Linked DNA regions of Arabidopsis thaliana. The protein of the gene in region 3 interacts with the protein of the main gene of each other region in a pairwise test. Each region holds a gene or a part of one and is shown on either strand. Other genes may lie near its edges. The genes, in order: AT2G41705, UTR2, PIP3 and ACBP6.

Evidence for each region.
Region 1: the proteins of PIP3 (region 3) and AT2G41705 interact in a protein complementation assay, tested with the Arabidopsis thaliana proteins (one large-scale study listed by BioGRID).
Region 2: the proteins of PIP3 (region 3) and UTR2 interact in a protein complementation assay, tested with the Arabidopsis thaliana proteins (one large-scale study listed by BioGRID).
Region 4: the proteins of PIP3 (region 3) and ACBP6 interact in a protein complementation assay, tested with the Arabidopsis thaliana proteins (one large-scale study listed by BioGRID).

Annotation. Positions count from the first base shown.
Region 1 is NC_003071.7:17,393,726-17,402,617, reverse strand, and holds AT2G41705 (camphor resistance CrcB family protein), read right to left. Parts: upstream 5,349-8,892; 5' UTR 5,108-5,348; exon of another isoform or gene 4,579-5,107; 5' UTR 4,536-4,578; coding exon 4,158-4,535; intron 4,063-4,157; coding exon 3,979-4,062; intron 3,884-3,978; coding exon 3,785-3,883; intron 3,703-3,784; coding exon 3,510-3,702; intron 3,423-3,509; coding exon 3,010-3,422; intron 2,927-3,009; coding exon 2,708-2,926; 3' UTR 2,537-2,707; downstream 1-2,536. Other genes in the region: AT2G41710 (Integrase-type DNA-binding superfamily protein), read left to right, coding at 282-364, 511-519, 609-697, 878-951, 1,032-1,082, 1,429-1,490, 1,574-2,358; ABCA1 (ATP-binding cassette A1), read left to right, coding at 6,508-6,594, 6,755-6,834, 6,938-7,106, 7,205-7,287, 7,658-7,874, 8,200-8,408, 8,501-8,561, 8,672-8,758.
Region 2 is NC_003075.7:12,058,496-12,066,835, forward strand, and holds UTR2 (UDP-galactose transporter 2), read right to left. Parts: upstream 4,364-8,340; 5' UTR 3,992-4,363; coding exon 3,869-3,991; intron 3,508-3,868; coding exon 3,479-3,507; intron 3,398-3,478; coding exon 3,196-3,397; intron 3,106-3,195; coding exon 2,863-3,105; coding exon of another isoform or gene 2,840-2,862; intron 2,794-2,839; coding exon of another isoform or gene 2,766-2,793; coding exon 2,664-2,765; intron 2,581-2,663; coding exon 2,440-2,580; intron 2,244-2,439; coding exon 2,136-2,243; intron 2,088-2,135; coding exon of another isoform or gene 2,054-2,087; coding exon 1,823-2,053; coding exon of another isoform or gene 1,812-1,822; 3' UTR 1,689-1,811; downstream 1-1,688. Other genes in the region: AT4G23000 (Calcineurin-like metallo-phosphoesterase superfamily protein), read left to right, coding at 1-10, 285-582, 740-888, 967-1,152; AT4G23015 (uncharacterized protein), read left to right, coding at 1,812-2,087; TRM11 (uncharacterized protein), read right to left, coding at 7,836-8,340.
Region 3 is NC_003075.7:16,704,172-16,712,200, reverse strand, and holds PIP3 (plasma membrane intrinsic protein 3), read right to left. Parts: upstream 3,841-8,029; 5' UTR 3,530-3,840; coding exon 3,244-3,529; intron 3,152-3,243; coding exon 2,856-3,151; intron 2,597-2,855; coding exon 2,456-2,596; intron 2,363-2,455; coding exon 2,243-2,362; 3' UTR 1,794-2,242; downstream 1-1,793. UniProt on the Arabidopsis thaliana protein: Water channel required to facilitate the transport of water across cell membrane. May be involved in the osmoregulation in plants under high osmotic stress such as under a high salt condition.
Region 4 is NC_003070.9:11,408,890-11,416,303, reverse strand, and holds ACBP6 (acyl-CoA-binding protein 6), read left to right. Parts: upstream 1-4,070; 5' UTR 4,071-4,204; coding exon 4,205-4,216; intron 4,217-4,669; coding exon 4,670-4,787; intron 4,788-4,891; coding exon 4,892-4,954; intron 4,955-5,086; coding exon 5,087-5,172; 3' UTR 5,173-5,538; downstream 5,539-7,414. Other genes in the region: NFD3 (Ribosomal L18p/L5e family protein), read left to right, coding at 1-59, 540-1,372; FRL2 (FRIGIDA like 2), read left to right, coding at 1,898-3,319. UniProt on the Arabidopsis thaliana protein: Binds medium- and long-chain acyl-CoA esters with very high affinity. May function as an intracellular carrier of acyl-CoA esters. Confers resistance to cold and freezing.

The DNA.
Region 1 (8,892 bases), on a different chromosome or scaffold from region 3:
GGTTTGGTTGTGAATTGGGAGTTGTGTTATCTGTATTAGAGTATGGAATGTTTGGATTGGTGGATATGCACTTTGGTTAGGGATCTTGTGTGGAGCTAAATTATCTGGAATCTGTAAACTGTTCTAAAACACACTAATTTTCACCTAATGTCAGATTTTATAGTGTCTAGGCTCAAACTAGAAGAAATGAGTAGGTGTGCTTAGCATCTGTATGAGGTTTTTGTTCCATAGCAGTTGGAGATGTTGATGCGTTTTGTTTGTCGTATTTGTGTTGAGTACAGACATAGATGGACAGGTCGTTATGAAGCTCACCTTTGGGATAAGAGTACCTGGAACCAAAACCAGAACAAGAAGGGAAAACAAGGTTCCTCTTCTTCTTTTTTTTTTCTCTCTGCATCTGATAAAATTGCTGTTGTCATTTGCAATAAGTTTTCTCTTGTTTGGAGTATCAAAGCTGATCTTTTCTGTTTCCTATATATTTTCATGGGTGACGGAATTTCGCCACACCAGTTTATCTAGGTAAGCTAAAAGCTTTATATGTGTTGATTATATTCTTGTATATCAAATTGGATAATTTTTCACTGAAGAACCCAACTCTTACTTGACAGGAGCATATGATGATGAAGAGGCTGCTGCTAGAGCTTACGACCTTGCTGCCTTAAAATATTGGGGTCCTGGGACACTTATAAATTTTCCGGTGAGATTGCTACCGTAGTATGCTTTCTAAGTTACTCTTCAACCGTGTGGTTTCCTTAATAATTTTCATGGTCAATATATATGCATAAGTGGAGTAAGGATGGTTAGAAGTGTTTTGGAGCCACCCTTCTCAAGTTTCACTGTTTTTAGCTACATGCATTTACGTATTTCATTCTCGTAGGTGACTGATTATACCAGGGATTTAGAAGAAATGCAAAATCTCTCAAGGGAAGAATACCTTGCATCTTTACGTAGGTGCGTATGTATTTAAAAGCACTATAGTTTTCTTTTAAGAACCATTTATTGCTGATACTCTTTAGATATCCCTTTGGCAGAAAAAGCAGCGGTTTCTCTAGGGGAATAGCGAAATATCGTGGACTTCAAAGGTAAAACTGGACCAGCAATTGAGTTCTCATTTCTCTGTTTTGTCTGAAAAACTATGGAATCAAGAGTGATCATCTTTGTGTAATTGCCTATAAGGAAGATTCTTTAGTGACACATTGTGGATCATCACGGTTTTGATTAATTGACATATGGTGGATATGCTACTAGTTAATTTCATAGAAAAGTCTATATGCTACTCTTAAGAATAGGGATATGGCAAAACTATCTTCACTGTTTTGGCTGTAGCCCTCTTTAGTTTTGTCTTTTTAACCTTCTTTCTCACAATTAACATTCATACCTGATATGCATTTCTGCTGTCTTTCCATCTATTCTGCACTTCCCGACCAGCCGATGGGACGCATCAGCCAGTCGTATGCCTGGACCTGAATACTTCAGTAACATTCATTACGGTGAGTTGCTAACAATATTGACCTAATTGAAACAAATGTTTGCTTGCATCAGACTATTCAAAACTCATTGTCATTATTAACAGGGGCAGGTGATGATCGTGGAACAGAAGGTGACTTTCTAGGTAGCTTTTGTCTGGAAAGAAAGATTGATCTAACAGGATACATAAAGTGGTGGGGAGCCAACAAGAACCGTCAACCAGAATCTTCATCAAAAGCATCAGAGGATGCAAACGTCGAAGATGCTGGTACTGAGCTTAAAACACTGGAACACACATCCCATGCAACAGAACCATACAAGGCGCCAAACCTTGGCGTCCTTTGTGGAACTCAGAGAAAAGAAAAAGAAATATCATCACCATCAAGCTCTTCTGCTTTAAGCATCTTGTCTCAGTCGCCTGCCTTCAAGAGCCTAGAGGAGAAAGTGTTGAAGATCCAAGAAAGCTGCAATAATGAAAACGATGAGAATGCAAACCGTAACATCATCAATATGGAGAAGAATAACGGCAAGGCAATAGAGAAACCAGTTGTGAGTCATGGAGTTGCTTTAGGCGGTGCTGCTGCTTTGTCTCTTCAGAAAAGCATGTACCCACTTACCTCTCTCTTAACGGCTCCATTGCTCACCAACTACAATACATTGGATCCTCTTGCAGACCCTATTCTCTGGACACCATTTCTTCCTTCAGGATCCTCTCTTACTTCAGAGGTTCGTAGTCATATATCTATAGAACCAGAGACTTCAGAGGTTACTACAACACATCTTCCTTATGTCATTTTCTTTGGCTCTCTTTCTTCTGCAGGTGACAAAGACAGAGACCAGCTGTTCCACGTACAGCTACCTCCCACAAGAGAAATGAGCCGTTCCCTTTAGACTTTATGTATGTCAGATTCTCCTTTTTTGAGATGAATTCGTCGACTTGACATCTCTTTGTCTCTTTTATGGAGAAAAAGTTGGGAAAAGTGTGACAATGGTCTGAAGCAGGAATGTACAGGTTTTGTTAGTGGTTGTGTTTTTTTTTTTCCAGTGTGGAATATAGAATCATGATATTTTGTGTAAAACAGAAAAAAGTTATCATTATAGTATAGAAGTTTGCTCTTAATATTTCTGCACAAGGTATAATATAATTTGATTGTGACCGATCTAATTATTCATCTCTACCAAATGTTACGACTATGTATTATCACATCATCTGCACAAGACTTATCTAGCTTTGATACAACTAACTGAATCCTATTACCCAGACAGGGACTGAGTATATAATAGTTCCAATCGCAAAAGAAACCACAATGGTAAAAGATGCATACGCATAGGCTCTCCATGGGTAATCACTTTCTCTCATCGCATTGAACTCAGCCATGAAGGTCGAAACTGTGCTCAGACATCCCAACAGACCAAACTGTATGCTCGAAGCAACCGTGTTACATGTTCTCGTGTTCACCTGTTTCCCAAAATATATACAATGAATGTTATCTTTTGTGATTTGATCTGTTTGGTAGAGAGAGGAGGTGAGGAAGTTTATACCGATTTCTTCAAGGTAGCCAATGCTGCCATAACGCAAGCTGCAACTACATTTGCAATGAGGGTGCCAAATGGGACCCATCTCAAATTTTGACTATCCTTTCCCAGCCCACGTCCATTGAGTCGGGCTAAGAACCATCTGAGCCAGACACCAGGGGCTGCAACTAAGCAACCAAACCATAGCTGAGCCTCGCTTGTTCCTTTGTCAAACTCTTTCACAAGCAGTATGGAACTGGCAGTGAGTAAAGCCACAAGCAACAGAAGCATCAGGGTCAGAGACACAATATGGCTCTGGAAGGTGTTAACCTTAAGACAATGGAATTTATCCTCAGAAGAAGCTCTTCTATGAAGAAGCCATTTAAACCCTTTGGCCGTTTCCACTCCCAGAATTATGGAGTATGACGTGAGAAACAATCCTGTAAAGTCGTTTATGCTGTAAGCAAGTATGTTTCATCCAATTTAGTAGGTGATTGGAGATTGAGAAGGGAATTTTTTGTTTTTACCTAATAAAAAGCCAAGCACAGCATACACCCATTGACCATCAGCACTAAGATCCAGCATTTTCTGGTTCCAACCGCTGAATGTTGTCAGACTCCCCAAATAACCAGTCGATAATCCTATCGCCACAAATTCAGAAACTCTTGCTATATCTGCTTTGAATACAACGCCAAACCAACCCATCAAGAATGATCCTACCTATAAGGAAGCATTTGGAGAATTTTTATTAAGAAAGATAGGTTTGTAATTAAGTTTGAGATGAGTGCATTGCGACTTTCACCATGTTGGAGGGAAGATCAAGGTACAAGATGCTCCCATCACTTGTTACTCGAGCACCAGTTGGCCCAAACAATTTTTGCAGCAAATATCTCGTAATGGCCTGTATATTTGGAGTCAACGAGTTGATTATAATGATTTAAACAAAAACAAAGCACAACAGAGAGACAGACAGAAAATGGAAAATAAGCATTTTACCCCAAAAATCCCAAAAACAGCCAAATGAATTAGGCATGATATGTACTCCAAGGACTTTGGTAACACTCGCTCTTCCTCCTTTCCCTGTGCAACCCACGAGCTACAATAGATCAAAACATTGGACAAAGAAACCAATACTAACAATGATGTGACTATGCAAAGTTAGAGGTAGTCTCTACGGAGTTGTTTATTTCAGGTGACAAGAGTGACTTGGTCGGTAAAGGAGATGCTGTTATGTCCTCAGGCAAAGTTTTATTTACGGAAGCAGTGTTGAAAGCTCGAAGGTCATGTAATATATCTTGTTCTTGACGAGAAGTATCATGAGTCCCTTGTTCTATAAAATCATCAGCAGACAAACGGCTGCTTCTACCAGCACTATGCCTTCTCCGAAGTGAGCGGTCCCCAATATCCCCTGCCTCTGAGACACTCTCACTATCGACGTCATTGTCAATTAGGTGAGGCAAACTACGTGATAAGCTTAAAGAAGAGGCTACACTGCTCTCCCGACTAAAAGACTTGGCTTGATAAGGTTCTATGCTGCTTTGACCCGTATCCATAGGCGTTGTAGCCAAAGCATAAGATTCTTAAATGATGCTCCACCTGCACATATTTTAAGCCACAGCCACACACACAAGAAAGAAGACATGAAGGAATGTGCAAAAAGAGACAAGAGATAATCGAACAATGTGGCAAGTAAACATTCGAGAAATTCCTAATGCTTATTAAAGACACTGTTTGAAAAGTTTAGCTGTAATCTTCAAAACCATAGCTTTTTGATACTAAGACAACAAATTCAAAAAAGTTCACATATTCATGATAGATTATGACTTTAGTTTATTACTTTCTACAGAAGCAGAATAAGAATGACCTGGTGAAGGGATCCAAAAACAGTTTTCAAGATTTTGTCCTCCACTATCCCTTAAAACAAAAGATAAAAATTTACTTGCGTTTTAGTTAGTGGAAATCGAAAAAAAGGTAGACTAAAATAATCACTTGTTCACCAATAGAGAAAAAAACGAAAATCTTAAAAAGTTGTACAGGTGGCAAAGACGAATGAATACTTTTCTTAGATTGGGACCTGTTTTGGGTTTGGATTTTGAGCTAGACATTTAAAATTCAGCAGCTTTACCTAATGGCGAATTCAATCTTAATCGTGAAGAATCAAATTTGATCCCAAAAGTCGCCGGCGGAGAAATCGAGCTAACAGGAGACAATCGAAAACCATCAATTTATTCTCTGGTTTATTGGATGTTAAGGGAAGTAGGTTCGATTGTAGAAGATGGACGAACAACAAAGCAGAAGACGATTGTAACTTTGTTTAGTCGAACACACATGTACAGACAAGTAGAGTTGGTTTAGTCGGGAAAATCGCACCCTAAAAAAAACAAAAACAATACATAAGTTTTAAAATATTTCTAAATTATGGGCCACAAAGAGCTGGCCCAGTAGCCCCGCTTCTCATAACAGATTTTTTTTGTCTCTGGCGGATAACAAAAATATCCTTGGAAACGACAGCCCAAACAAAATCATCTTTAACATATATTTAGATGTTACTTGAAATTTGATCATATATTTTGAAAAAATCCAGATAAATTATTAAAAGTTAATGGTATTAAAAAAAAAGTTTCATTGTTTTTAGTTGAAGAAAATAGTGTCATTTTGATTCTACATTTGATATAATTTTACTAAAAATTGTTTTTTTTCTGTGTTAAAAAAAAACAGCATTTTTGAGGATTGAATATGAAGGTGGATTTCTTTAAAGTTGTGTCACAACTGATAAAAATAAAAATAAGAATCAAGTTGGGGAGTGGCAATGAAAGGAATAATTCTAATGGCGGCTTTTATTGGCAACCTTCGGAAAAATAATAAAAACATTCGTATACTTTGCCGTCAAACTTAGGAACGTCGTCGTTTTCGTCGTAATATAATTGGCGTAACGCAACTCTAAAACGAATCAGGATGTTCCACGTACACTACACTAGGCTTTTAATGTGGAGCCCGTGAGAGAGCCACCCCTACTTGGCATTGACGCAAAGATTTATATTTGGGTCAACATCAGCAACTGTACTTAAGTACTTATATATATTAATTATAAGATTATCTTCTTCTTTTTTTTTGGTTTAATATAAGATTACCTTCTTAATATCACGACAACTAATCTAATCTTCTCCTTATTTTTTGGGTTTTTTGATAGAAGAAGAAAGGTCCCGTAAATAAATGAAACAGTTTCGGAATTCTTCTATTTTTGTCGACCACTTGTGTTATCCGCAGCTAGTTGCAAAATTCTTTTGTTTGATTGTATAATCAAATTGATTAATGAATCAAATAAATTGGCAGGAAAAAAAAAAAAAAAAAAAAGGAAGCACAAATGTCAGTGAGGTGAGCCCAAGTCTTCGCCACCTCTCTCTGCTTTCTTAGTTTGCTACTTTGCTTTGCCTTTTCCCAAAGAAGAACCATAAAAGTATGATTTCTTATTGAAGCCAAGACTAGAATCTATCGTCTAGGGTTCTTTCTGGGTTCCAAGGAAAAATGGGTTCATCGAAGAGGCAATTCAAGGCCATGCTCCGCAAGAATTGGCTCCTCAAAACTCGTCATCCCTTCGTTACTTCAGCTGAGGTTTCTCTCTTTTTCTTTGCTCCTCAAAACTATGTCGTTTTCATGCTTATTCACTGCTCGTCTTAATGGGTCTTCTTCTCCTTGATGCTGAATGCAATTTTTGTTTTTAAAATTTCGAATTGTTGATCAAATTTTGCTTCTTTCTCTTATTCATTGGCAGATTTTGCTTCCGACTATTGTAATGTTGCTGTTGATAGCCGTCAGGACACGGGTTGACACCACAATTCACCCGGCTCACTCGTAAGATATCAGTTTTTTACACTCGTCACTAGCCTCTCTCTCTCTCGTACTAAAATTGGATTTTGATTTCGTTTTCTGCATTTTGTTCTGTTGATCATGAAAGGAACATAGACAAAGATACAGTCGTCGAAGTGGGCAAAGGCAACTCTCCTAGTTTTCCAGAAGTTTTGAAGCTTTTGCTTGCTGAGGGGGATTTTTTAGCTTTTGCACCTGACACTGATGAAACTAATAACATGATCGACATTTTGTCTCTTAAGTTTCCGGAACTGCGGGTAATCATCATCACGTCTTCATCTTATGCTGCATTCTAGATCGATAGTTACTCTTCATATGTCACACGTTTAATCGACCCTGTGTCTTCTGTTTGCAGCTAGTTACTAAAATTTTTAAAGATGACATAGAGCTGGAAACTTATATAACATCTGCGCATTATGGTGTCTGTAGCGAAGTGAGGTATGTTTTGTTCTTTTTTCCAGCTAATAAGAAGGCAATTTCATCCCTAGTTTCTTGTCGCCTTCAAACTTTTTCTTGTACATCTCTCTGTTTATTCTGTGAATTGGTTAGCATTTCTTGAATAATGGCAGTATCTCCTTGGGTTAGTTGTTACAAATTTGCTACAACTTTGATGATTATACTACCTGAACAAGACTGGTATCTTTTCTATGTTGGAAACAGGGAGATATTTTGGCTTCACATGCCCAGTGTGTCTGCATTTTATCTTCACTAGTACTATCATCAAAGTTATAACTAGCTGTCTATGCTTTTTCGTTTTTTTTTTTTTTTTAAATGTTAAAACTGATTAAGCCTCATCATGTTTGCTTAGGAATTGTTCGAATCCAAAAATAAAAGGAGCAGTGGTATTCCATGAACAAGGACCTCATTTGTTTGATTATAGCATCCGCTTGAACCACACATGGGCATTCGCAGGATTCCCAAATGTCAAGTCGATCATGGACACAAATGGACCTTATATCAATGATCTCGAAATGGGGATTAATACCATACCAACAATGCAATACAGCTTTAGCGGATTCTTGACTGTATGGCCATTACTTATTTTCATTGAAAGTTTGTCTAATCTGTGCCCATGATTTTTCTATCATCTTTGTAGCTCTCCCCATAAAGCTACTAGGCAGTACAGTAGTCAGATAATTCTTGTCTGTAGACTATATAATCTATGCTATTATAGGGAAATATAGGATTAGTCAAAGAAATTCCAAATCAGGTGTTAGATTATCACACACTAAAGTAGTAGTTACCATTTAGTAAACTAAATCAGTTCATCTGATTTGAATAGAAATTCTTGAAGTAGGGGGTTTCATCTTGGTTTCGCCCAGTTTTGATTGGTCTTATACCCTTTTGCAGCTCCAGCAGGTGGTAGACTCTTTCATTATATTTGCTTCTCAGCAAAATAACGACTTGCCATTATCACATTCAAATCTTAGTTCAGCTCTACGCTTTGAGCTGCCATGGACACTGTTTAGCCCCTCAGTGATAAGAATGGTTCCATTTCCAACCCGTGAATACACTGATGATGAGTTTCAATCTATTGTCAAAAGCGTAATGGGATTGTTGTATGTATCACCTGCTCTATATTTTCTTTCCTTACATGTATGCATGGTATTTGAGTGTTTATGGTTTGGATGATTATATAATTGTTGAGCAGGTACCTTCTGGGATTTCTGTTTCCAATCTCCCGGCTTATCAGCTACTCTGTCTTTGAGAAGGTTGGTTTGGGTTTATGTATTTTGCTTACTTTGGAACACAGCTGATATGTATCTTTCGTTTACCAATAGTTGCTTTTCTATCACTTACGCTTTTTTTTCTGACCTTGCAGGAACAGAAAATAAGAGAAGGACTATACATGATGGGCTTGAAGGATGAGATCTTTCATTTGTCGTGGTTTATCACATATGCATTGCAGGCAAGTTTCTGCTTGAAATTTGACTTGTGAACTTTTGTTTGCCTCTCTTCCCGTGGCTATGGTAGCATTTTCTGTTGTCAACAATATTGACTTCAGCTGGAAGAAGCAGACGCTTTACTTCTTTTGATATATCT
Region 2 (8,340 bases), 4.6 Mb from region 3:
GTTCCCTCAGGTGCGGTTTTACACATCTTTGACTTTATCAAACTCTTTTTCATATGAACTGTTTCTTGTTTCTCCATTTTATATTTATTTTCTCAGCAATGCAGCCTGACTTGGTCATTAAGACTTTTTTGTTAAAATGGTACACATTGTCAGCATCCACTATTAAATGGTCAAACTGAGACAGGCCTTGCATATCTGTAGTAGTGTTTTTCCTGTGCGAAGAAATTTTTATGCTCACTTGCACTCACGAGAAAGTTTTTATCTTCATTCCTTGTTGGTTTCAGTGTGAGCTAGGCCATATCTTACGAGGCGATTCATTTTCTGGCCACTTGGGGAGTTTCTTTGGCACAGTTTGGAGCTCCTTTGTGTATGTAACAGAGCAGTCATATGTGTCTTTCACCGGGGTTCTTATGTTGCTAATAACTGCAATTATGTTTGTTCCCTCAAAAATATCTCGGAGGAAACGACTGTTAATTGGAATTCTTCATGTTTCTGCACACCTGATGGCTGCTTTGATTCTTATGTTGCTGTTGGAACTCGGCATAGAAATCTGTATTCAGCATAAGCTCCTTGCAAACTCCGGTCAGTTTCCTTTCCATAGAATGTTGTGGCTTTCCTCATTACAATGTCATTGACACAAGTGGACAAAAAATATGTGATCCTACTTTAATTGATATTTTTTTGTATCTGTGATCAAACCTTAATGGATTTTGAGATTTTCAAACTTTTTGCTACACAGGGTATCATACATTGTATCAGTGGTACAAATCAGTAGAAAATGAACATTTTCCGGACCCTACTGGCCTCCGAGACCGTATTGAGCAGTGGACGTTCGGATTATATCCTGCCTGCATCAAGTATCTTATGTCAGCATTTGATATTCCCGAGGTAAAATCGTCAACTTAGCCTTCGTTTTAGCTGAAATAGAAAACTATTTTTCAGCCGAAAGTAAAGTATTTGACATAGGTGATGGCGGTTACACGGACTAACATCTGTCGAGAAAGGAATGGGAGTCACTTTCTCGAAGCGGAGCAAGCCATCTATTATGCTTCTGTGTTCCTCTACTTTTGGGTTCTTCTCAACCCCTGTTGTATCTTTGGTTTTTGGAAGTTACTTATATATATCCATCAACTGGCTTCACATACACTTTGATGAAGCATTTTCTTCACTTCGGATCGCCAATTAACAAATCATTCACCCGTTTCCAACATCAAACCTGATGGAGACCTTGAAGTCTTCACTCTCGGAGTAGACAAGGTGAGAAAAACAACTCTCGAAATGACAAAAGAAAAAGTTTGTGATTATAGAATTAAACAGAGGAGTGTATGTGATGAATGAGTACAGGTGCCAAAGGAATGGAAGCTGGACAAGGACTGGGATGCAGAGCCGAGATCGACTGTGAAAATGAGTCATCACAGAAGGTTTCCAAGCAAATGGTGTGCAACAACATTGCAGCAGGATCCTGTCAACACCGTAAAGATTGTCGATAAGTTTGTTATTCATAGATCAGAGAAAGAAACTGGAGGATCTTAGATAGAATCAGGTTCTTCACTGATCCTGTCGTTTAGAATGTAGTCATTAGCGTTTCCCGCTTTATGAATAGGCTTTGAGACGAATAATGCTTTCTTCTGAGAGTGATGACAAAAATAATTCATATCATAGTTAACAATTTAACAGCTCAATCTTTTGCAATTTCACTTTAGAATCTAATAACAAGTCTCTGACACAACTTTAACTCTATTTTGTGTCTCCTTCATCCAACATTATTCTATAAACCCTTTGAATTTGTGAGATAAAATATATATAAATACATGGCACATTCTCAAACCAATGACTTCCTTTCTTCGTCCTCTTCTCTATCACCATCGCCTCCTGCGATCCTAACCGCTGGTCTCGCCGGAATCTTGGCCGGAGCTTTACTATCCATTGGAACCATCTTCAATACAATCCCCATTGCTATCAACAGCAAGCCTGATCCGTGCTGTTCCGTTAACGGCTTTGTGAATATCAAATACGACAGCAACAATGTAACCCCTTTCCTAGCCGTTGTTATCTACACACAACGAAATGTGATTTTAGACCATTGAGTCAATTAAAATACAAATGAGTATTCAAAGATAAGATTAGATATTTACCAAGGCAGTTGTGGCGGCTCCAAAGAGAGCAATAAGCGAGAGAACGGAGACTTGACCGATAAATGTGGCCATGGCTTCAAATACAAGCACTCCATACACATACGGATGCTGCAAATATAAACAAAGCACAATTGGTTTTAAATATGTCAACCAATGAATCATTAAACCGTTTGACTATAAAATATTCCACGTTGGTACTTAAGTTATGGAATCAATGAATTTAAAAGAGACAATTTGGCTTTTAAAAAGTTTGGCAGATTCAGAGGCACGTCGTCGGTCAATGATCTCTCTCATTTCGTGGTACCAAGAATCCTACAAATTTTGACTTTTTCTCTAAACTGAGTCCAACTCCGGTTTGAATCATAAACCGAGTCAAATCTATAGAAGTACTTTCAAAGCCAAATAAAAGGTTCCACTCTTTGTCACTTTCACTTAAAATGGACGACTATCTCATAAGGTTAACTTGGTTTGGTTAAAGGTTGACCAAAAGTCAAACCAGAAAAAAGAGAACAGAGGTTGTTTACTTACTTGTGCACACGCAGTCCACGCACGAAAAACCTCTCCGGTTAAAACCATGGGAACGAACAAGAACGGTAATCCAACAACTGTTGAGCAGAAAAGCATCTCCATCTGCACAACACACATAACAAGAGTTAATCTCAGAAACGAAACAAAACAGACCGGTAAAGGAAAACCGAAAGAACCGTGTTTTCTTTAGTTTCCTTGCCTGAGTTGTCTCAGGATTCATTGTGAAGATAGCTTCTTGCAGATTACCCAAGAAAGCATCCATGATCAATGCACCGGTTATCATCATAATCCCAATCATACTGAAATTTGGAGACATTTGCGCATCGGCTAATGTGAATAGGATCAAACCAAGAACAAGCAAGAACGCTGAAATGTATTCATGGACTGGGTATTTTCTTCTAAGACCGGGTATAAACGCTCCCATTATCATCACCGGTAACACCTAAAACATCCGAAAGATGGTCATTCCGATCATTCTTTAAACTCAATTTAAACTCATTGAGACTGTAATTGGGAAATGTGGATCTATTACCTTGGTGGATTTGAACATGATTTGAGCTGGATAATTGAGATAAGCCAAAGATCCTTTGGTTAAACCATGTGAACCCATGAGAACAGCAGAGAGTTTGACATAAGTTCTCATCGGATTAACTATATGCTTTGTGGTAAAGCCTTGAAGGTAGATTAGAAACAAGTAGACAAATCCTTGTATAAACGTGAAATACCACCCAAAGCTACAAAGACAGAGCAAAATCCCATTGTTAACTTTTGTTCAAATCTAAAACTTAAAAGAGTAATCAAAAGTTGACTTTTACCTAAATTGAAGACGATTATAAACATATTCCTGCAAAACCAAAGAAAAATAAATCAAGTCAATGATCATATATGAGTACTTGTAGATCCAATCACATTCTCTAAAATCTGTTTTCTTTACAAAGATCACAGATTTTTTGTGATCTCTCACAAGTTTGGAGAGAGTTTAGTTCGTCATGCAATTTTTTCTTCTTCCTCTGTTTTTTTTTCTCTCAGAAACAAAACATCAAACACTTAGCATGCAAGAGATTGAAAATGCAAAAAAATTATAAATTTACGAGATTCAGGAGCTGGGTATGTGGAATTATGACAAAGAACAAACAAAAACATTAACGTTGATTGATTATGTATCAAAATTCTCGAATCAAATTGCAAAAAAGAGAGAAACGAACCTCGCAAACACCGTTAACGAGATAACCAAAAAAGAAACCAGAAGTGCAAATGAGAAACTGTTGCCAAGTTGGTTTATCAGACAAAGAGATTCCAAACAGAGATCTTGTTTGTTCCTCCTTCATTTTTCTTTTCTTTTCTTTGAGGAGAGATTCAAAGGAAGAAACCCAGAAAGTGAATTAAGAGTAATTGATCAAACACATGTAAAGTGATGACTCATAACGGTATTATTATCACTCCTCGAAATAACGAAAACCACACCACAAAAAGGGTAATCAAAGAATAATTAAAACCAAATTCTTCACTCTCCTCGAGAAACTTGATGAAGAGGGAAGAGAGAGTTAATAGATGTATTGGTAAAAGAGGAGGAGGAAGAAGAGAGCTTTTAAGAAGGAAGGAGAAAACGCATGAAGAAGAAGAAGAAGAAGAGACTCGTCGCGTGATTTGCCACTTCGGGACACGTTTTTTCTCCATTGAGCGTTCTTCTTCTTCTTTTTACGTTTCCTGTTACTCTTTTTTTTACCGGTAAAACTCAAATTTGCAAGTAAGACCCTTAACGTTTATGTATGTTTGATTTAAGTCTGAAACTTTTGTTTATCTACACACCACGACAAAATTTGCATTACCAGCGTGGCACATTTTTTTGTCTTAAGTCTTTTATTGCATGATCTCATGTTTGCTAATTACGATCATATCATATTATTACCAGCTTGGTATATATATATATATAAAATTTGGGTTTTAATGACAGTTTGTGTTGTATATGTGTTGTTTGAAAAATGTATTTATAATAAATTTTGGTATAAAAATAAGAAAAATAAATGCTATGACTTATCAAATAAAATTATCTAAATTTGTCTATAAAAAAAAGTATCAAAGTAAAATGGAACAAATAAGGGTAAAAATTGATATATAAGAAACATATCAAATCAGATCTTGCTAGTCAAAATTGTAAATTTTTATCTACATTTAGGATCTGTATATTGACTATGTTTTCTAAATAACATTTGTTAAAAAAAGTGAAAGAATTCAAAAAAGTAGTGTGACAATTTTTACAAAAACCTTAATTAGAAGTCTAAAATCATATGATATCATCAAATCTTGATATAAAGTAAAAAGAAAGTGTGTCACTGACTCTACACATTAGAAAACTAGAGGCACTAATAAAAAAAATAAGATAAACTTTAGGGGTGCGTTTTCATATTTTCTTTATTTGATGCAAAAGAAAGTTACTACTTCGAGAGAATAAGAGAATAAAAAGGAAAATTTAATAAAGATAATCAATATGGCTTACGAGTCAACTTTCCGGTTTAAGACAGATTGAGTCATTGTCTCAATAGACGCCATTACAGTCTGTCTTTTACAATTTCATCATCTTTCCTGAATTTTGTTTTTGTTATTTTCGGAAGTGATTGTTAAATGCGTTACAGAAGTTCTGGTCATGTCAGAATTACATATTGACATAACATCTGGACACGTTTTGGTAAAGAAATCAATTTACTCTTTTTCTTTTCATCTTCTATATCCATATTGAGCAATAAACTTCACACATGCATATTCATTCTTTCACCAACAGAGTAGTTGTTTTGTTCTAGTTGAAAACTCTAGTGAACAAATTTGGAGGAACATATACAAAATGTGTAAGCAAAATAATGACGATATTTAGTCAATGAATTGAAATGTTTTAGAAGAATTAGGTGGCGGTGTATGGTGAACAGTCGAAATATACATTATTATTGGCTATTAGTTCTAAAGAAGCGATTATAATCGTCGTATATGAAATAGCATATAGACAAAATGGTTTGTTTTAAAATAGACCGTTTAATAATAGCTTTGATTAGTGACACTGATAAGTTAAAATGGAATAGAAAATAAATTAACTATGAGTCTATAGTCATACAAATATCATATATGCATATAGGCGTCGCAAAGAGCCAAAGACCATATTCTTTTTTTTTTTTTGGTCAAAAGCCAAAGACCATATTCTTTTCTTGAAATACCAACGCGAAACTCAACAATAAATCTGATATTTATTTTATTTTTTGTTCAAAGGCTTAAATGAGAGAGCTTACTGCAATATTACAACAACAAAAAAATTGCAATTGGTATTAGAGATTTTTTCCTATCAAATTTATTTCTATTAGAAGGTCAAGCTTTACGTGCAATTGTATTAATACATAAAGTTACAAATGATAATCTCTACACATAACAAAATTGATCTTACTCGTAGATATTTTTCTTGCTTAAAACCATTTGTGTGGTTCATAATAAACGGAAGACTTCGATCGAGAGACTTTTGCATATGCAAGCAACCCATCACATTTCACAAATTGACAACAATATTATTGCTAGAAAACTATAGATTTATGTAGATATATATTTTATTCTTTTTTGTTAAAAAAAAATCAGACATTTACATTCAAACTCAAGCGAGTAAAAGAATCAAAGTCGTTAGAGAAACAATCCAGTGACGTACGGTCAAATAGTGTGGGCCTTAGCTTCAGCCATTTTGTACAGAGTACCGGAATCTTACCAAACACCGAAGGCAGGTCCAGTTACACTAGTTAGCGGTTACGTCTCCTTCTAATTTTCATAGATGAATTAGTTTTTTTCTTCTAAATAAAATACGAATTTTTAATAAGATTTTGTGTTATTATTGATTATGGACACTGTTACTGCCGTATTATCATGCGCAAAACAGGGTTGGCAAACTTATAATAGGTGATACTTGTACAATTTATCTATATACTTATTAATTCAAATTCAAGTATTTGTGTAGCTACTACTACAACTAGACGTGATAGTCAGCATATATGAATTATTCTTTCTTTGCTAGGAATATTTTTAAAATATTATAAAACTAAATTTTTAAAAGAAAAGAAAAAAAAATTATACACTTATACGTATAATTTTAAACAAGTAGTACTACTGTACAACTTATATACAAGTCCTAAAACTTAGTAAATTATATTTATATCGTTAAATTTGGCTTATTAATATTAAGGCATATAACTGAACATAGCACGAGTATGACTTTCTTGTATACAATAAACAGAACTATACAATATATATGTCCTATGTGACTACGTGTGATTACAAAATGCAGTGATATAGCCTATAGGTAATTTGCCCCCAAAAAAAACAAACTATAGGTAATATGTCGCAATTTTTGGTTAGTGCAACAAATGCAAATTATTAAAATCTAACAATATATTAGTAAACAAGTTTTCAAATATCGAAATTGTCTCCATGCGTTCAAGCGTCTCTCTCTCAGCAACAATGATTTGGTACGTAATTCTATTACATAGGGGAATTCGGTTTATTTCCTAAATTATGGGTTTCTTTTCTTACTGAAACAATAATTCAATTTTTGGGATTCGAGGTTAGATATATTTATGCACAGAAATTAGGTTTTGCTTTTAAAAAAAATTGTAAGAGAAATTTGTTACAATTTTCATTAAATATAAAATTAGGAGGATGCATGAGATCTCTAGTGACTCAAGTCATGGTTAACTTTAAACTGATTAGTTCTATATGTATTAACTTTACCACTCCTACGTTAAAGTTAATCCAGCTCAGATTAGTTGAAGCCCAAAAAAAACTATAGTTTAGGGCCCATTTCACTTAACGGCCGTTCATTATGCTTGAAACCGCTCAACATTAACGTGGTAATTTATTATTATCCTTTTTAGACTTATTTTTCATGAATTTAGATGATACAGTAGATGTTGTCATTAGATTTGTACTAGTTTACTTTTAATGTGAGATTCTATCAACCTTCTGTCGCTGAGATTTTACCGTAATCAAGTTCAAAGTTTAGAAGTTTTTGTTTGTTTCATCAATCTCTCATTACTCATTAAACATTCAGACAATATATGTCATACCATTTACAAAGATAATAGCACTATATATCATAAATTTAGTAATGCATATAGTATAATACATACATATGTGGCAAAGAAAACAGTTTCACAAGGATATATCATGGATAAGTTCGTCAACCAAGGAAGTGAGGAAACCATTCCCCAACTCTTCGACCACATACTCTTTCTCATCCCCATTGATACAACCCCATTTCATTTCCTTCACATAAATCTCTCTTTTCTCGCTCACTTTCCAACTCATGAACATATTATATTCATCGTCTTGTCTCCTCATCACCCATTCTTCAACTATCTCCACCAACTTATCCTCGTCTCTTGTCTCATTATTATTGTTTTCTTTGAAAAAATCTAGCAACACATTGTCTACTACATGAGATGCCAGTAATTGGTTTTGTTCCTCGATTATTCTAGACTTCACTAGAGCAAACAAACGGTTTGCTCGGATTTCGGATTGATCTTCTTCAATTTCTATAATGTGAGATTTGTAATCTTGTCTTTCCTCATATTTCTCTATGCGTTTCTCTAAATCCACTGGCTCAAGCCGTACCAAACTCTCTAATCTTCTTCTTTTTCTCATCTGTTTCTTCTCA
Region 3 (8,029 bases):
CACTCAATTTGAGCTCTACTCTTCGATTTTTTTGTTACTTTGTTTTTGTCGAAAAGTAGATGTTATTCCATAACGATGATTTTTAGGGGATTTTAAAGCCAAATATATCTTATGTTTTTATGTTATTCACTAGTTGATTTTGTTACATAATTGTTAGATTTGATATTTTTAAAAGTAACAAAGTATCGTACTCTGCTTTTAAACCGTTTGCAACGGACAAATCAATCTGTTATTTGCGACAATGCTACTGGGCTTCAGTTACTCATGTCGGCTTTACACCGAGCCCACTGAAACATGGCCCAACGGGAAGCTCCCCGTTGGGTTTGCTCACGAAACGAAGATTTAAGTGTAAACCGGAGAAGTTGAACCAGAAACCTCCAGATAAAGGTTTGTGGACCACAAATTGTGCTTGGTTTTGTTGCACAATGTGAGTAAGTAATTATAAATAACCTCATTGGAGATTCAGATCTTAACTAATAGACAGCAGTTACTTCAATCGTCTTTACTAGAAAAAATAAAATAAAATCTTTAAGTAGGCTCCAAAGGCTTTCACAAGATGGCAAATGACCTCAAAAAAACAAATTAGTTATCACGTGAAATCACCTTGACAGCCAATTTTTCCAGACACATAAAAAATAATCCGTAACATGGAATGATTAAAAAAGTTCGCAACTTTTAAAAAGTCTGAATTAGTGATTTATATCCAAAGTTGAAGATGTTTTTTGTCAACATATTATGACATCATTTCTTTCAAAAAAATGGACAGACAACTAAGTTTCACACTCAGCTGCTGTCTGTTTCAAGTTTATGTTTTTAGCTATACAGCATCAGATCGGTTAAAGTAAATCGGTTTAGGGATAAGCAGAGGGGTGAACCGGCCGGTCACATAAGGTATTTTGCAACTTGCAAAATTGCTATTATCCAGAACCAATAAAGCAATAGCTATTATAAAACAAAATTTAAGGCCCAACTATATGATGGTTCATACTTCATAAGCTGCTAGGGTTTACAAAGTTCAAAATGAGTGGACCATATTGAAGCTAAGAAGAGATAACGAAGAATCGATCATAACGGCTAAGTATTTAAAATTAAAACTGAGACACTAGGCGTATTAACCAGTAAAAGCGTGAAGGCCATCGTTGTGGTCCTTCTCTCTCTCTCTGTCTCCTCTGCATTCACTTTTCTGAAAAGACGAGACGTGAATTATTACTACTATTCCATGTAGACAAATTCGTATTTGTATTCATACTATTTTAAAGCCAACTCTCACTGTCGCAATTTACATCCCATAGACAAATTTAGTGCTTATTGCTTCCATGAGCATTTTCTTTTTTTTTTCTCTCTTTAATCAAATGCATTATTCAATTAAGTTGGTAAAGTCTTTTATACAAATAATTTCCTAATACATCCAAACACATATGCGTTTGGGTGGGTCTAAAGACTCTTAGCCAAAAGGAGTCTACTATATAACAATAACAATAACAATACGGTAACTAGACGCAGAAAAGTTACCCATGTGATAAACACATGAGCTACGCGACACGCGGCCTAAGAAAAGTTAGAGTGCGGTGGAAAAAATGGGTTTAATGTCTCGTTTCTTGTCTGGTTGTTACAACTCTATTGGCTCCACTCCTTTTTATCCTTTCACAAAAACAACAAAAGGTACTCGCACGAGTTCTTTTTCTTTTAAAAACAATACTAATTCTAACAAGTAACATCGAAAAAAAAGACTAAAGCAAATGGAGCGAAAATAGTTGTTTTCTTGTCAACTAACGAAAATGTAACCACATAGCAAATGGAATCCAATATTTCCTTCTCAACACGTGTCAATTAATGAATGGTTTACATATGACCCGATGGTTTAGAGTCGACACGAGGATAATAACCAAAAGACCCACACACCATGTTCAGCCGAAATTTGTATCTTAATTGGACGCTAGCTGTAATAATGTACATTGAAGGATCTTGTGATGTTGTGAATAATAAATTCCAACTTGGATTGTTCGATATTTACGAACTGACATGAAGAGAAAACATGAATTTGTAACTACTAAGAGAAACCAAAGGCAAACGATTAACAAAGACAATCAAAAACTAAAGAAGGAAATAGAAGTCACTGAGCCATTTCATAATTAACATCAATCCACCATCTCTCTCATTACACACAAAAGAACAACAAATAATAATTAAAGCATATAAATCTTAAAGTTGTTTCTTGACATTATCTTAAAAAAAGCCTTCATTAATTGGTTGCGTTGCTTCGGAACGAGCCCAAGGCCTTAATTGCTGAAGCTCTCAATATGTATTGGTGGTAAGCTGCTGCAGCTAGTGCTCCCAAGAACGGACCAACCCAAAAGATCCACTGCAAAACCAAAACCAACACAGAACCAACATTAGGACATGAAGTCATGAATGATTAGTGAATACCTAATCCAGATAATAACTAAACACTTACTTGGTCATCCCACGCCTTCTCGTTGTTGTAGATAACAGCAGCACCAAAGCTTCTAGCTGGGTTGATACCAGTTCCAGTAATGGGGATAGTAGCCAAATGCACCATGAACACAGCAAATCCAATTGGAAGTGGAGCCAAAACCTAATCACAAGAAAACCCACCACACTTTATCAGAATCTACAAAGTAAAGATCCTTAGAGATTCATACATACTTTGTCATTACACCATAAAAAGATTCAAACTTCATCAGAATCTACAAAGACCCATTTTATATTCATACTAACTTTATCATTAAATCCTAAAAAGATTCAACCTTTATCATAATCTACAAAGACCCAATCAGATTCATAGTAACTTTGTCAAAAAACTCAATTAAAGATTCAAGCTTTTTGAGACTTACGGGGATGTGAGAGTCACGAGCGCTTCTCTTAGGGTCAGTTGCAGAGAAAACGGTGTAAACAAGGACGAAAGTTCCAATAATCTCAGCTCCGAGAGCAGTTCCTTTGCTGTAACCGTCAGCTACGGTGTTAGCTCCTCCACCAAGAGTGTTGTAAGGAGTTTTCATGAAAGCTTTCACGAAACCCACACCACAAATGGCTCCAAGACACTGAGCTATCATGTAACCAAGAGCTCGCACCAAAGAGACCTTACGGGCCAAGAACAGACCGAAAGTCACAGCTGGGTTAATGTGACCACCTACGAGAAGACGAGAACAAGAACGAGATTAACAATAAAACCAACGAACCAAACAAGTAAAAGTTAGGGTTTTTGGTGGGATTCAAACTTACCAGAGATACCGGCGGTGCAGTAGACGAGGACGAAGATCATACCACCGAAAGCCCAAGCGATACCAAGTAAACCAACGCCGTCACAAGGACCGGTTTGCTTCTTGTGGCCGATGACAGTAGCGACGGTGACGTAGAGGAAGAGGAGTGTAGCGATGAACTCAGCGATGAGAGCTCTGTAGAAAGACCAGGATTTGAGCTCACCCATGTCGAGAAGAGGAGCTGGTGGAGGATCCACGTAGTCTTTTCCATGGTGGGTTTTGCCTTCTTCGCTCACTTCTTTCGACATCTTTGTTCTTTTTACTCTCTAGCTAGCTATGGAGTTTGTGGTGCTGTGTGACGACGACAGTGTATCTCTTCTGCCATTTTAAAGGGGAAAAAGGAAACCCTTGTAATGCCAGGGATAAACCAAGGGTACTTTCGGTATTACGTACTATTTGTATAGTCTACATAATTCTGCTTATAATCATTATTAGTACGATTAAATAGTTAATAACCCTCTAAACTAACTTAGTACTAAAAATATAAACTACTAAATGTTCCTTGGAACTTTCCAGTTTTAGTTAAAATCACATACGATTAATATGCATTATTACTGACAAAATAATAGTCAAAATTATCACGAATGTTCCTGCAAAATAATAGTCAAATTTGTGTTTTAATGCATTTTTTTCTCTTGCTAACATCAATAGTTATATGCATTATTACTGGCCCAATCAAATTTTTGTTCTTGTACTGTATGATATAGTGTATAAAATAGCAATCAAAGTGGGGTATAATTTGCATGGCCAAATCTTTTGCAGTTCTGTAAAATGTGAATATTTTTCCTACTAATAAATATGGAACAATGGGATAAATACACAAATGTTTAAATAAATAAAAATAAGACATGTGTTTTTGTAGGTTTGTTGAATATTTTTTTGGGTAGTAATAATTTGAAAAAAAAAATGGGAGATAAAAGTAGAAGGTGGTGGGGTCCAGATGTACAGATAAGCCATGTGAGGGTTAATGATAGAAATGAGGTGTATGGTTTTCTCGTCAGCCTGTCATCCCAAACTCTCTTCAACGGTTATCTCAATATCTTTGTCTTTTTTTCCAAATCTTTTTTGGTAACATTTTTTCAAATTAGGTCAAATGTTTGTAACATATGATAATCTGCTAAAGGCAACTGTACATGAAAAAGATTAATAATCTACGAAGAAGGTATATTCGCGGCAATTTTTAAAAAGAGTTCATATACCAGCAAAAGATAAGAGTCTATTAATTATGGTTGGTGCCGTTTTTTTGACGAAACTTGTATAGACAAACATTCACCCCGCATATAAACTATATAGTAGTCTATGCTAATTTATACTCACATTAATGTGTTTGTCGTTGAAATTTGAAGACTATTTATGGATTATAATCAATTTTAAAATTTGGTTAAATGATGTATGGGAGTATATACTAATACTAGTGCATCTTATTCTTTTTGATCAAAAAATTTATCTACTCATTTGCTATTCCTTTTATTTTTTTCCTTTGAGAGAGCCATATTAATTTGAATGGTTATGTTTGTATATAGCAATACGGACGTGGCATATTAGAAAGTTGATACAAATGTACATTAAAACTTAATGGTCATTTTTTTCTAAAGTTTAATGGTCATTTAGATTGAGAATTGCATAAAGAAAAATCCATAGTGCAAGCTCACAAGGAAAAGAAAAACTAGCATAAATAGTGGACTGACGGATAATCCGAAGTGCTGGCAATTTAGGAATCCCGTAATGAGTGTTAATATCTAAAGCTTAGTTTACTCTTTTCCTTTCACATTTTTTATACGTTAATACGACGTTTGTCCTTATCCTCGTAGCCCTAATCAAAATTATTTATTTTGTTAATATCCCTAGCCAATTATTACTTAATTTACTTTATCACTTTGTGTAATACTTAAATTTTACGCAAATGTGATTTAGATATATGAAATGGAAGTAACTTTACTTCCTAAGTCGACCCACGATAATATCATTAATTCAAGTAAAGTACGACAAAGAAATATTTGATTTGATATTATGCTGCCTTTGGTAATGGAAATGCCAGGTCGATGAGCAATCATAGAAAATGATGATTGCCTTCCTCTTTGTCCATGAAGAAGACTATACGATTTCGTATAACAAAATTATATCTGCTAAGTTGTGGTAAATTTATTAAATATACAGTTCAGGCAACATTACGCAGTGCAAACATTAAAACCACCAATACACATTTTCATTTCAATTGAGTTTGAAACTAATAAATAGGGAGCCTGCGGTTTCCAAATAGTGAGATATCGACCCTAGTAGTAATCAATAAGATTTCAAGTTTTATGATTTGGAAACGAAAACAATAATGTCTGGATAGTAGTACTGGACCATCAAATATATTACGTAAATAAAGTCTCTTCGTGGTGCAGAAGAGGTTGGATAATAATAATATTTGGCTAAACTTCATCCGAATCATTGCATGTGAGAATGGATCACCATCTTATCTTTGCTGCTACTATACCTATCGTTAATTATGATTTATTTTCCCGGAACATGAAGGATTTTTGTACATTATGGTTAGCGAACTTCAACAATTTCAACTAGTCTAGTTAAATTAAATTGAGTATATTATATAGTTCAGAGAAAGGGACTGACCTACCACAAGGGGCAGCCAATCTTTATCTCTAAAACATCCAGGTCACAATTTCCACATCAGTTTGGCAAAAGACAGGTCAGATCTCTTCGTTAATCCATACAGATCATCCCACGTGTATCGTATCTGGTAACGGCTAGAACGATCCATAAACATCTGTCTTTTTCCATCCTTTTAAATAATGGTCCTCGTTTCTCGCAATTCCTTTTTCCGATTCCCCCTCCAACGGTCACTACATTTGATTACCGTATGCTTTACGGTTTTTTTTTTTTTTTTACATCAATTTTATGGTTCAATTATGCCTTGAGAATGTGCTTTTGATTTTGATTAGCAGTATATTTGTTTAATTAGTAGTGAATGCGTTTATTTTTGTGGATTGTTTTTTAATTAGTTATCTTGTCATTTAGTACACATATGGTAAACTAAGCATGTTTATGTACTTAACTAGGTTTTAACCCGCGGTTTACCGCAGACAATCAATTTATTTGGTTCTTATACTAAATATTTGAAGAAATTTGATATTTTAAACTTATAAATATAAATTTCTAGTGATTAGTGAAGAATCGTAATAAATGATTTGGATATTATTGATTATTGATTTCGTGATTGAATATACTGTTTTTAGAGATGAAATGTGATTATATTTTGATTTCAAAAACGATATAGATTCCTTATTTTTGTTGAATAGCTTAGATTAAAGAGAATTAATTTTATTAAACGGTTTAGATTGAATTGGATCATATAAAGCTTAGAAAATTGTTAAGACCAAACTACCCTTAATAATTTTGAATAGCAAAGAATAAAATCCAAAATTAAAATCAAAATTGAGACCAAATTATACAAAATTTCAATTTGTACTTCTCTTTTAATAATAAAGGGATTAGCTTAATTATTCTTAAAATATCTTAATATTATTTACACTAAAGAAAACATAGAACATACTCCTTTCTATTCATTGTTTTTAGGCTATATTGTACCTTCATATTTCATTTTTGAACTTTTCAGTTCAGAAAATAGTACATACAATAACTTTGAAAAGATTCAATATTAATGCTGTCTTAGATTAGCACTTTTTAAAAGTATGTATAAAACAAGTAATCGATCATCCTTAAGTTTGGTGTTCCCTAATATTCATATTTTAGCTGGTTGCAAACACCAGCTATATTCGTTTATGGATTTTGGTCTAATTATTATTAAAAAAACAAAAATTAACCATAAGGTGAGTTTGTTTTGTGTATCCTTCTTATTTTTAACCAAGAAGGAACTTACATCAAGATTAGTTGAAATTTTCAAAAAGACGACACGTGCTGAGAAAAATATGTTCTTGATCCTTGACATTGGAAATGGAAGTAGTAGCTAGCTACTTAATCGTTGTATATCTTTAAGAGTTGGGCTAGACCAGATAATTCAGCCCATTTTGATGTATTAGCGACAATTCTTTTGATAGCATTTTTGGGCTAAGTCTATTCGTAATGGGTTTCAATCATCTCATTGTTTCTTCAGCACATTTTTGAGCCTGCTTATTTTTTTTCAGAACGTATGGAACAAGATCACATGTTTAATTATGTATGGTCGACATGTTTCAATCCGTTGGCTTTAAGGTCTTAATAACGTACGATACATTAGTTTTGTTTTGTTGCATGTAACCTGTGTGGTTGTACTTGTACGTTCACTACTTGTTGGTTTCTTTATAACCAATAGAATTCGGCAATTCAGTACCATGTATATGTTTTTCTTAACCGACCATATATTCCATAATTCACATGCCATCTCTTAAAAGAAATACAAGCACTCATAGCCATAGGTGGTGGATGAAGAAATATGTGTGTTAAAAATTTCTTCTATTGTCCAAAATCAACAGCTTGATCAGATGAACTTCTGAGCGAGCCAGAGGGTTCCAAGGTGGGCCATTGGGAACTTGATAAATCTCATCTCGTCACATCTCCCAAGGGGCAAAACAAAAACTTAAGAAATAATCAATTCAAAAGGCATATTCTTCCCGCTTGGGGCGTTCACACTATCTCATCACACGTGGAATCCAACAAAGCAGCCACGTCACCCAAGACCATACTAAACCACTTAAAAAGGTTTTGCTAAAAGGCCAAAAAAACCGGATAAGGAACCACAGCCCAAT
Region 4 (7,414 bases), on a different chromosome or scaffold from region 3:
CAGCTATGGTGGAATCAATTCGGTCTGTCGATTTTCGTCTCAATCTGATGGCTTCTCTGGTTCGTCATTTCCCATTTTTATCTCTCCCGATCCATATTTTGCTTCTTCAATTTTGAGTTATGACCCAGAACTATGATTGAATCGAGAACAATTTTCTTCTGGGTTTGATCTGATTTATGCATTTGAGTTGTACAATCAATATTTTGGATTTGGCGTTTAAGTTTTCCACTATCGTCAAGTGATGTTGTCCTCCATGAAAATGTGTAATTTCGTTATTAGGTATTGTTCAGGATTCTAACCTTTGCCTAGAAGTACAGAACGAGGATTTGAATCAATTAGTCTCAAGGATCAGCTTCTTATGGCTCTTTAACAATTTGCTGTATTCAGAAATTAGGCAATTATTGCAATTGGTAACGAGATATCTACAAATCATGAATCTGGAAAACATTTCTTTGGAGCAGCTTAGGCTATATGCAAGGAGGGAATTATAATGTATCTGTATTGATTGATTATTTATTTCGTGGATTCTTCTTGAACAGGAGGGAGATTCAGAGAGCAAGTGCCAGTTTCTGGAGAGTCTGCAAATAATTCAGGCTTATCAAACACGGGAAGAATCGGTTCCTCTCCGGAGCCTAATCCTTCGACTTTGAGAACTTTTGGTGATATGAAAGCAGGCTTGTTAAACAGAGGAGTCAATGGTTTCTCGGCTCCTAATGCTCCTCCTACCTTCAAAAGTTCACTGAGATCAAGATTACCAAACTCTCTACCTGATCAGTTCGGTCAGACGAATCCAGGCTTACCAAACACGGGAGGAAGCGGATTCTCTGCTCCAAGTTTATCAAGCTACGAGAATTTCACTCAATCTTCTTCGCTTCTTAAGGAGAATTCCCGCAGTGGAGGGAAGTCAAGCGACCTGGATTTTGTTAGAGAAGTAATAGAAGATGAAGGAAGGAGAACCGCAGGGATATTCTCTCATTTCCAACGCCCAAACCTCGAAACGAATGCTGACATCATTCACATCAAGATGTTGAGGAACAACACTTTTGTCACGGTTACAGATTCCAAAGGAAACGTCAAATGCAAAGCTACATCTGGTAGTTTACCCGATCTGAAAGGTGGAAGGAAGATGACGAATTACACAGCTGATGCAACCGCTGAAAACATTGGGAGAAGAGCTAAGGCTATGGGGCTGAAATCTGTGGTGGTTAAGGTGAACGGATTTACGCATTTCGGAAAGAAGAAGAAAGCTATTATCGCGTTTAGAGACGGTTTCACCAACTCGAGGTCTGATCAGAATCCGATAGTCTACATCGAGGACACTACTAGGAAAGCTCATAATGGTTGCAGATTACCAAGGAAACGTCGGGTGTGAAAAGAAAACGTCCCATGTCGTCGTCTCTTGTTATTCTATGGTCACTATAGAAACCATTTGTTTTGGCAAGTTATATCTTTTCTTGGTTATGTTTTCTCCTTCAAATCCGAGGAAAATCGGGTTTAGATAATTGGACCAAAGCGATTTGATTAATAAACCGGAATTGTTTTCCTGTTTTGACCCAATAGAAAATTTGACATTTTAATCCCAGACCATATAAGCCTGTCAAATATAGAAGCAATAAAGTTATTCAAAAATAGTTATTTTGCTTTGGAAATAAATCGCTCTCTTGGTCTCAGGAAGTGAGTCGATAGATTGAGGAAAATCTGGTTTAGATAATTGGACCAAAGGGATTTGATTCATTAACCGGAATCTTAAGCCTTGTCAAATTCTGTTCACATATATAAGCAATAAAGTTTTTTTTAAAGTAGTGATTGATTTGGAAATAAATCGCTCTCTCGGTCTCAGAGATTGAGATTCCGATACGGCGGAGCAAAGCAATTTAATAAACCTAGGGTTCAGATTATGACGGCGGCGGAATCAATCGCCGCATCGATTAATCAAATTGATGAGAAGAAACAAAAATTGAAGAAAGCTTTCGATGATCTTCAAGCTCATCGATCTCTCCTTTCACCATCTTTTAACCTCTCATGGTCTGAGATTGACTCTCACTTTTCTTCTCTCCAGTCTTCATTGTTTAACCGCCTCCAATCAGCCGTGACTAGTTCCAATTCCGGTAATATCGAAACTCCCACGGCGGTTACGACGGAGACACCAGTCCTTTGGCCGGAATTGAGAAAGTTTTGTGAGAAGAATGATGGAAAAGGTTTGGGTAACTACATGATTGAGAATTCGAGGAAGCGTTTATCTATCAATGAAGAGCTTCCTAATGCGATTCGATGCTCAGAGAATCCAGCACCTTTGGTTCTAGATGCAATCGAAGGTTCTTACCATTGCTCATCACCATCGTCGTCTTCCTCGGCGAGAGCGATCGATGTGAAGAGGATCTTCGTTTTGTTATTAGAAGCTTTGATTGAGATCAATGCGAATCTCACGAATGATTTGAGAGAAAGAGCTAGGACTATTGCTTATGATTGGAAACCAAATATAGGTAACAAACCATCAGAAGCGTTAGGGTTTTTGCATTTGGTTGCAGCTTTTGAATTAGGGTCTTTATTTAGTACTGAGGAGATTTGTGATTACATTTTCTTGATCTCTAAGTATAAACAAGCAACAACGATCTGCAAGAAGATTGGTTTAGATAGAAATCGAATAGGAGTTCTCGTTCAGAAGTTTTTGGATACTGGGAGATTACTTGTTGCTATTAGATTCATTTACGAGAATGAGATGGTGGGTGAATTTGAACCAGTTTCGATTTTGAAAACTAGTTTGAAGAACTCTAGAGAAGCTGCTAAGAGAGTTTGTGCTGAAGGGAATTACTCTCTTAAGGTGCAGAACGAAGCTACTGATAAAGAACTAAGTGCTTTGAGAGCAGTTATCAAAGTCGTGAAAGAGAAAAACATCGAGTCCGAGTTCATGGAAGAGAAACTCGAAGAATGTGTTAAGGAGTTGGAGGATCAGAAAGCTCAGAGGAAGCGTGCCACTAAGTTCAATTCACCTGCTAATCCCCAACAACCACAAGAACAAAAGGTCGATAATAAGCGTCCTCGAGTTGCTAATGGTTCAAGTATGGAATATAATTTGACAATCCCACCTCTGAGGCCGCAACAACAACCACCACTTTTGCCTACTCCTAGTCAGATTTTACAAGTGAACCCATATGGTCTTTTAAGCTCAATACTTCCTGGTGTTGCTGTCCCATATGGCAACCCAAGGGCTCTATTTGGCTCGGTTCCAGCTCCAGCTTCTCGACCCGTCTTTTATGTGCAGCAAACTGGTTATGGGATGCCACCACCTCAGTACCGCCCACCGTACTATCCTCAGTAGCATCTCTCTATTGGTAAGATTTATTATAGGAATGCAAGCGATATTGAGAAGATTTCTGCTCGAACAGGTCTATGCTCTCTATGTGTTTTTGATGTTCAGTAATGAATATCAAGTAAATTTCGAGAGTTTTGACATAGATAACACTTGATATAGTCGCTGTTTGGGGGATAACATAAGAGCAAATTGATCCGTTTTTTCTTTTTTTGTTTACCTGGTGAAGCGACTATAGAGGATTTTGCCTTGATTGTACAGTTTTATAACCTAACCTTAACCTCTTTTTAATTTAGTTTAGTTTACTTGTGGAGGAATGGTCTTTATGGTTTTGATCTAACATTTATATTCCTTGATTTGTTAGGTAATCTTCCAAGATTTCCTCCCTTTTTTCTTATAATCACCAAAGATCCCTTTTGGTTTGATTTGTTGTAGTGGGAAGAAATCTACGTGTCTGGATATCTAAAATGATCCAAAGGATAATATTCAACTAGCACAGAAACAGAAATAGTTTTTTTTTCATTAAACTATTTAAGTTTACAAAAGGATATGCTTATGGTTTTTCTGATGGAACAGAAAATTAATATTGTCATTTCAATGGAGAAGGAACATGTTCGATGAGCAAAAAAAAGAAAAAACAGAACATGTTCTTTGTTTTACAGTTGTACCCATACTGATCAGAATAAGCCAATCAACGGGGTGTCTGAATCCACGTATACAGTATCTATCTCTAAAAATATTTATTTCCTTTAAAGAAAATATTTAATAGTTATGGCTTATGGGCCTGAGAGGTTTATCATGACGCCCATATATATCTCACGCGTTGTCCTCGTCTTCTCCGTCTTACACTGATTTAATTCTCCTACCAATCTCAACTTCCGACGTCTATTCATCATGGGTTTGAAGGTACGTTCAGATCCAAAATGAACCAAACCGATCTCGGTTTCGGTTTATTACTACTCGGATCTTAGTTTTGTTTGTGTTCACCATTCCTGAATTCTATATTTTCTGTGTTGGTAGCCTTGTTTGATCCAGATTTGCAGATATATAGGTTCCTTATAGTTACGAAATTGAAGCTTGTATAGTCAAGAATGATCACTTTATGGAATTGAATTATTACTGATCACGCTTTTTCTCTGTATGATTTTGTCCATTTACTGTTCTTATAACTGATTTGTTAAACACTGTTTGCTGATGGGTAATATAGTTTTGAATCTGAGCTAGGTTTGGTTTTATTGAGTTTTGTTTGATTATTGTATCCCGATTGAGAATTTTAAGTAGTAATATGTTTGATGGTGTATTAGGCTATTAAGAATCTTTTCTTCGAATTTGTTGTTTCACTGATTTATATATCTGCAGGAGGAATTTGAGGAGCACGCTGAGAAAGTGAATACGCTCACGGAGTTGCCATCCAACGAGGATTTGCTCATTCTCTACGGACTCTACAAGCAAGCCAAGTTTGGGCCTGTGGACACCAGTTAATATTTTTGTCTGAATATTAACATCCTCTATTTTTGCTTCTTAGTTCACTTTTCTGTAATGTTGTTAATAATGTGTATTTGTTTATTGATTGATTCAAAGGTCGTCCTGGAATGTTCAGCATGAAGGAGAGAGCCAAGTGGGATGCTTGGAAGGCTGTTGAAGGTACAAAAACAATTCAAGTGATCAACTTTTTTAGCTTAGTGATTTGTTTGTAATTTGGATTCTTGTCTCAAGTTCAACAATTTTTTGTGCTTGGGGAATTGAATTTGAACTTTTCTTTGTTTATGATGTCAGGGAAATCATCGGAAGAAGCCATGAATGACTATATCACTAAGGTCAAGCAACTCTTGGAAGTTGCTGCTTCCAAGGCTTCAACCTGATGAATCAAATCCTCATCTGCAGTAACTTTATCTTAAGCATCAAAATAACATTGCATAAGACTTGTTCTTGCTCTTGTGTTTCTATCATATTTAAGCTATCTACTTTGTGACATGGTGTGATCTCTTAAAAATGCTTGATATTGGTTAAAACAGAGAATCATGATGCAAACTAAATCCATAAGTTATTTTTGGTCCGTCCTCGATATGGTCTTAGTTAAAACAGTTGAATTCAAGATGATATATTCGTTCTGGTCCGTAGGTCTTTTTCTTCATGGTCCATCGCATTCACCACTCACTAGAAAACTTTCGTTTTATTTCAATTTGGAGTACATAAGACAAAAGCTGGAAAAAAAAAGAACGTGGCAGATTTTTTATTTATTTTTTTCGTCTCGAACATTGGCAGAATTGTTCAAATTGTATGTGGTTTATTTAAAGTCAAATTCGTAAATAAATAGACGTTTAGTTTTAAAGTGTCTACAAATTTGAGGTTTATAATTTGGTAGATGACAAAAACAATAGTTTTTTTATTGAGTTGATCATAATTACTTTTATTTTTTATTGATTGTAGATTAACTTCCTTCCCTTAATGATAATCTCTTAACCGTGATTCAAGAAATTAAATAATATTGTAGAATATTAAAATAATTAATTGTATGTTGAACATACTAATATTTAGTATTATGATAATCTCTTTATCAAAATTATACATCTAGAATTTTTATATTAAATGCATTGTGTTTTTCAATTGAAAATTAAACGATATAAATATATAGTATATGCACTTTAACATAACAAATTCTTTTATATATTTTAATATAAGTGAAATAATTAATCTATATATACATTTTTGTAGGAGGTTTTTGAAGATAATGTTGAAGATGTGAACCATAATTCAACAATTAATTCAAATGGGTGGGTTTTACCCGATTTAACTCTATTCGGATCCTGGATAACATGTTTAATTCTGTTCTGATCTTGGATAACATTAATTTTTGGAAAAGTTACCTAAAAAATAATAATTAAAAACGAAATTAATGATTTAATTACATAATATAAACAATATCTCTAAACTAACCATATTTCTTATTTACCTTAACTAATTTCCTAAAATATTTCTACCTAATTTAAACATAAATATATAATTCTTCTTTCATTTTTATTTGATCTTATACTTTATTTATTTTGAATTTATATAAAATATATATAGTTAATAAAATATTATATTTTTTCTGAATATGATGTAATTCAAATTTTTTAAAACGGAAATATATTATTCAACCTATGAAGAAATAATATGTGTACAATGTCCCACATCGCTTAGAAAAATTGGACAATAGTTCAGACCCATATTATAAAAGGACCAAAATGATTCTGATTACGAATGAGCAGGAAGCTTGATTTATCAGGCGTCTAAAATTAAAATAGTTATCCGATTTTACTCGGATTTTTTATTTTAAAGAATTGAAACTTTAAAATGTTTCAAGAAATTATAAATATTATAACTTTATCAAAAGTTAAATATTATAATTTTAAAAACTTTTTATAAAGTTTATCTTTAAAAAATGCTTTAAATATTTATAATTTTAAAACTTATAAAGTTTTAAAAATTATAAATTGAATTTTACAAGAAATTTAAACATTATAAATATATAAAAATATATTAATACGAGACGATATATTACAGGAAAAATCTTCAATATAACAATCAAAATTCAATGATGATTTTTGGGTCGATATTGTATTTTTGTAAGTTTCAAATTTTATAATATTGAAATTTATAAGAAAATGACAAAATTATGTTTAATTTCACGGGACTGGGTTATATGGTAGGACGGGTTTGGGTGGATAATAATTACGATTTTAGAATGTCCCACATCGCTTAAAAAAATTGGACAATGGTCAAGCCATACTATAAAAAGGACCAAAATGATTTCGATTACGAATGATCATGAAACTTGATTTATGAGGTATCCAAGATTAAATGGTTTGTTTACTAGGGTTATTTATTTTAAAAAATTGAAACTTTAAAAAGTTTAAGAAATTATAAATTAAATTTTACAAGAAATTTAAACAATATAAAAGATATTAATACGGGACGATATACTGCGAGAGAAATCTTAGATATAACACTCAAAATTCAATGATGAAGTTTGGATCAATATTAATCTTTTTTGAAGTTTCTAATTTTATAAATATTTGAAATTTATAATAAAATGACAAATTTGTGTTTAATTTCACGGGA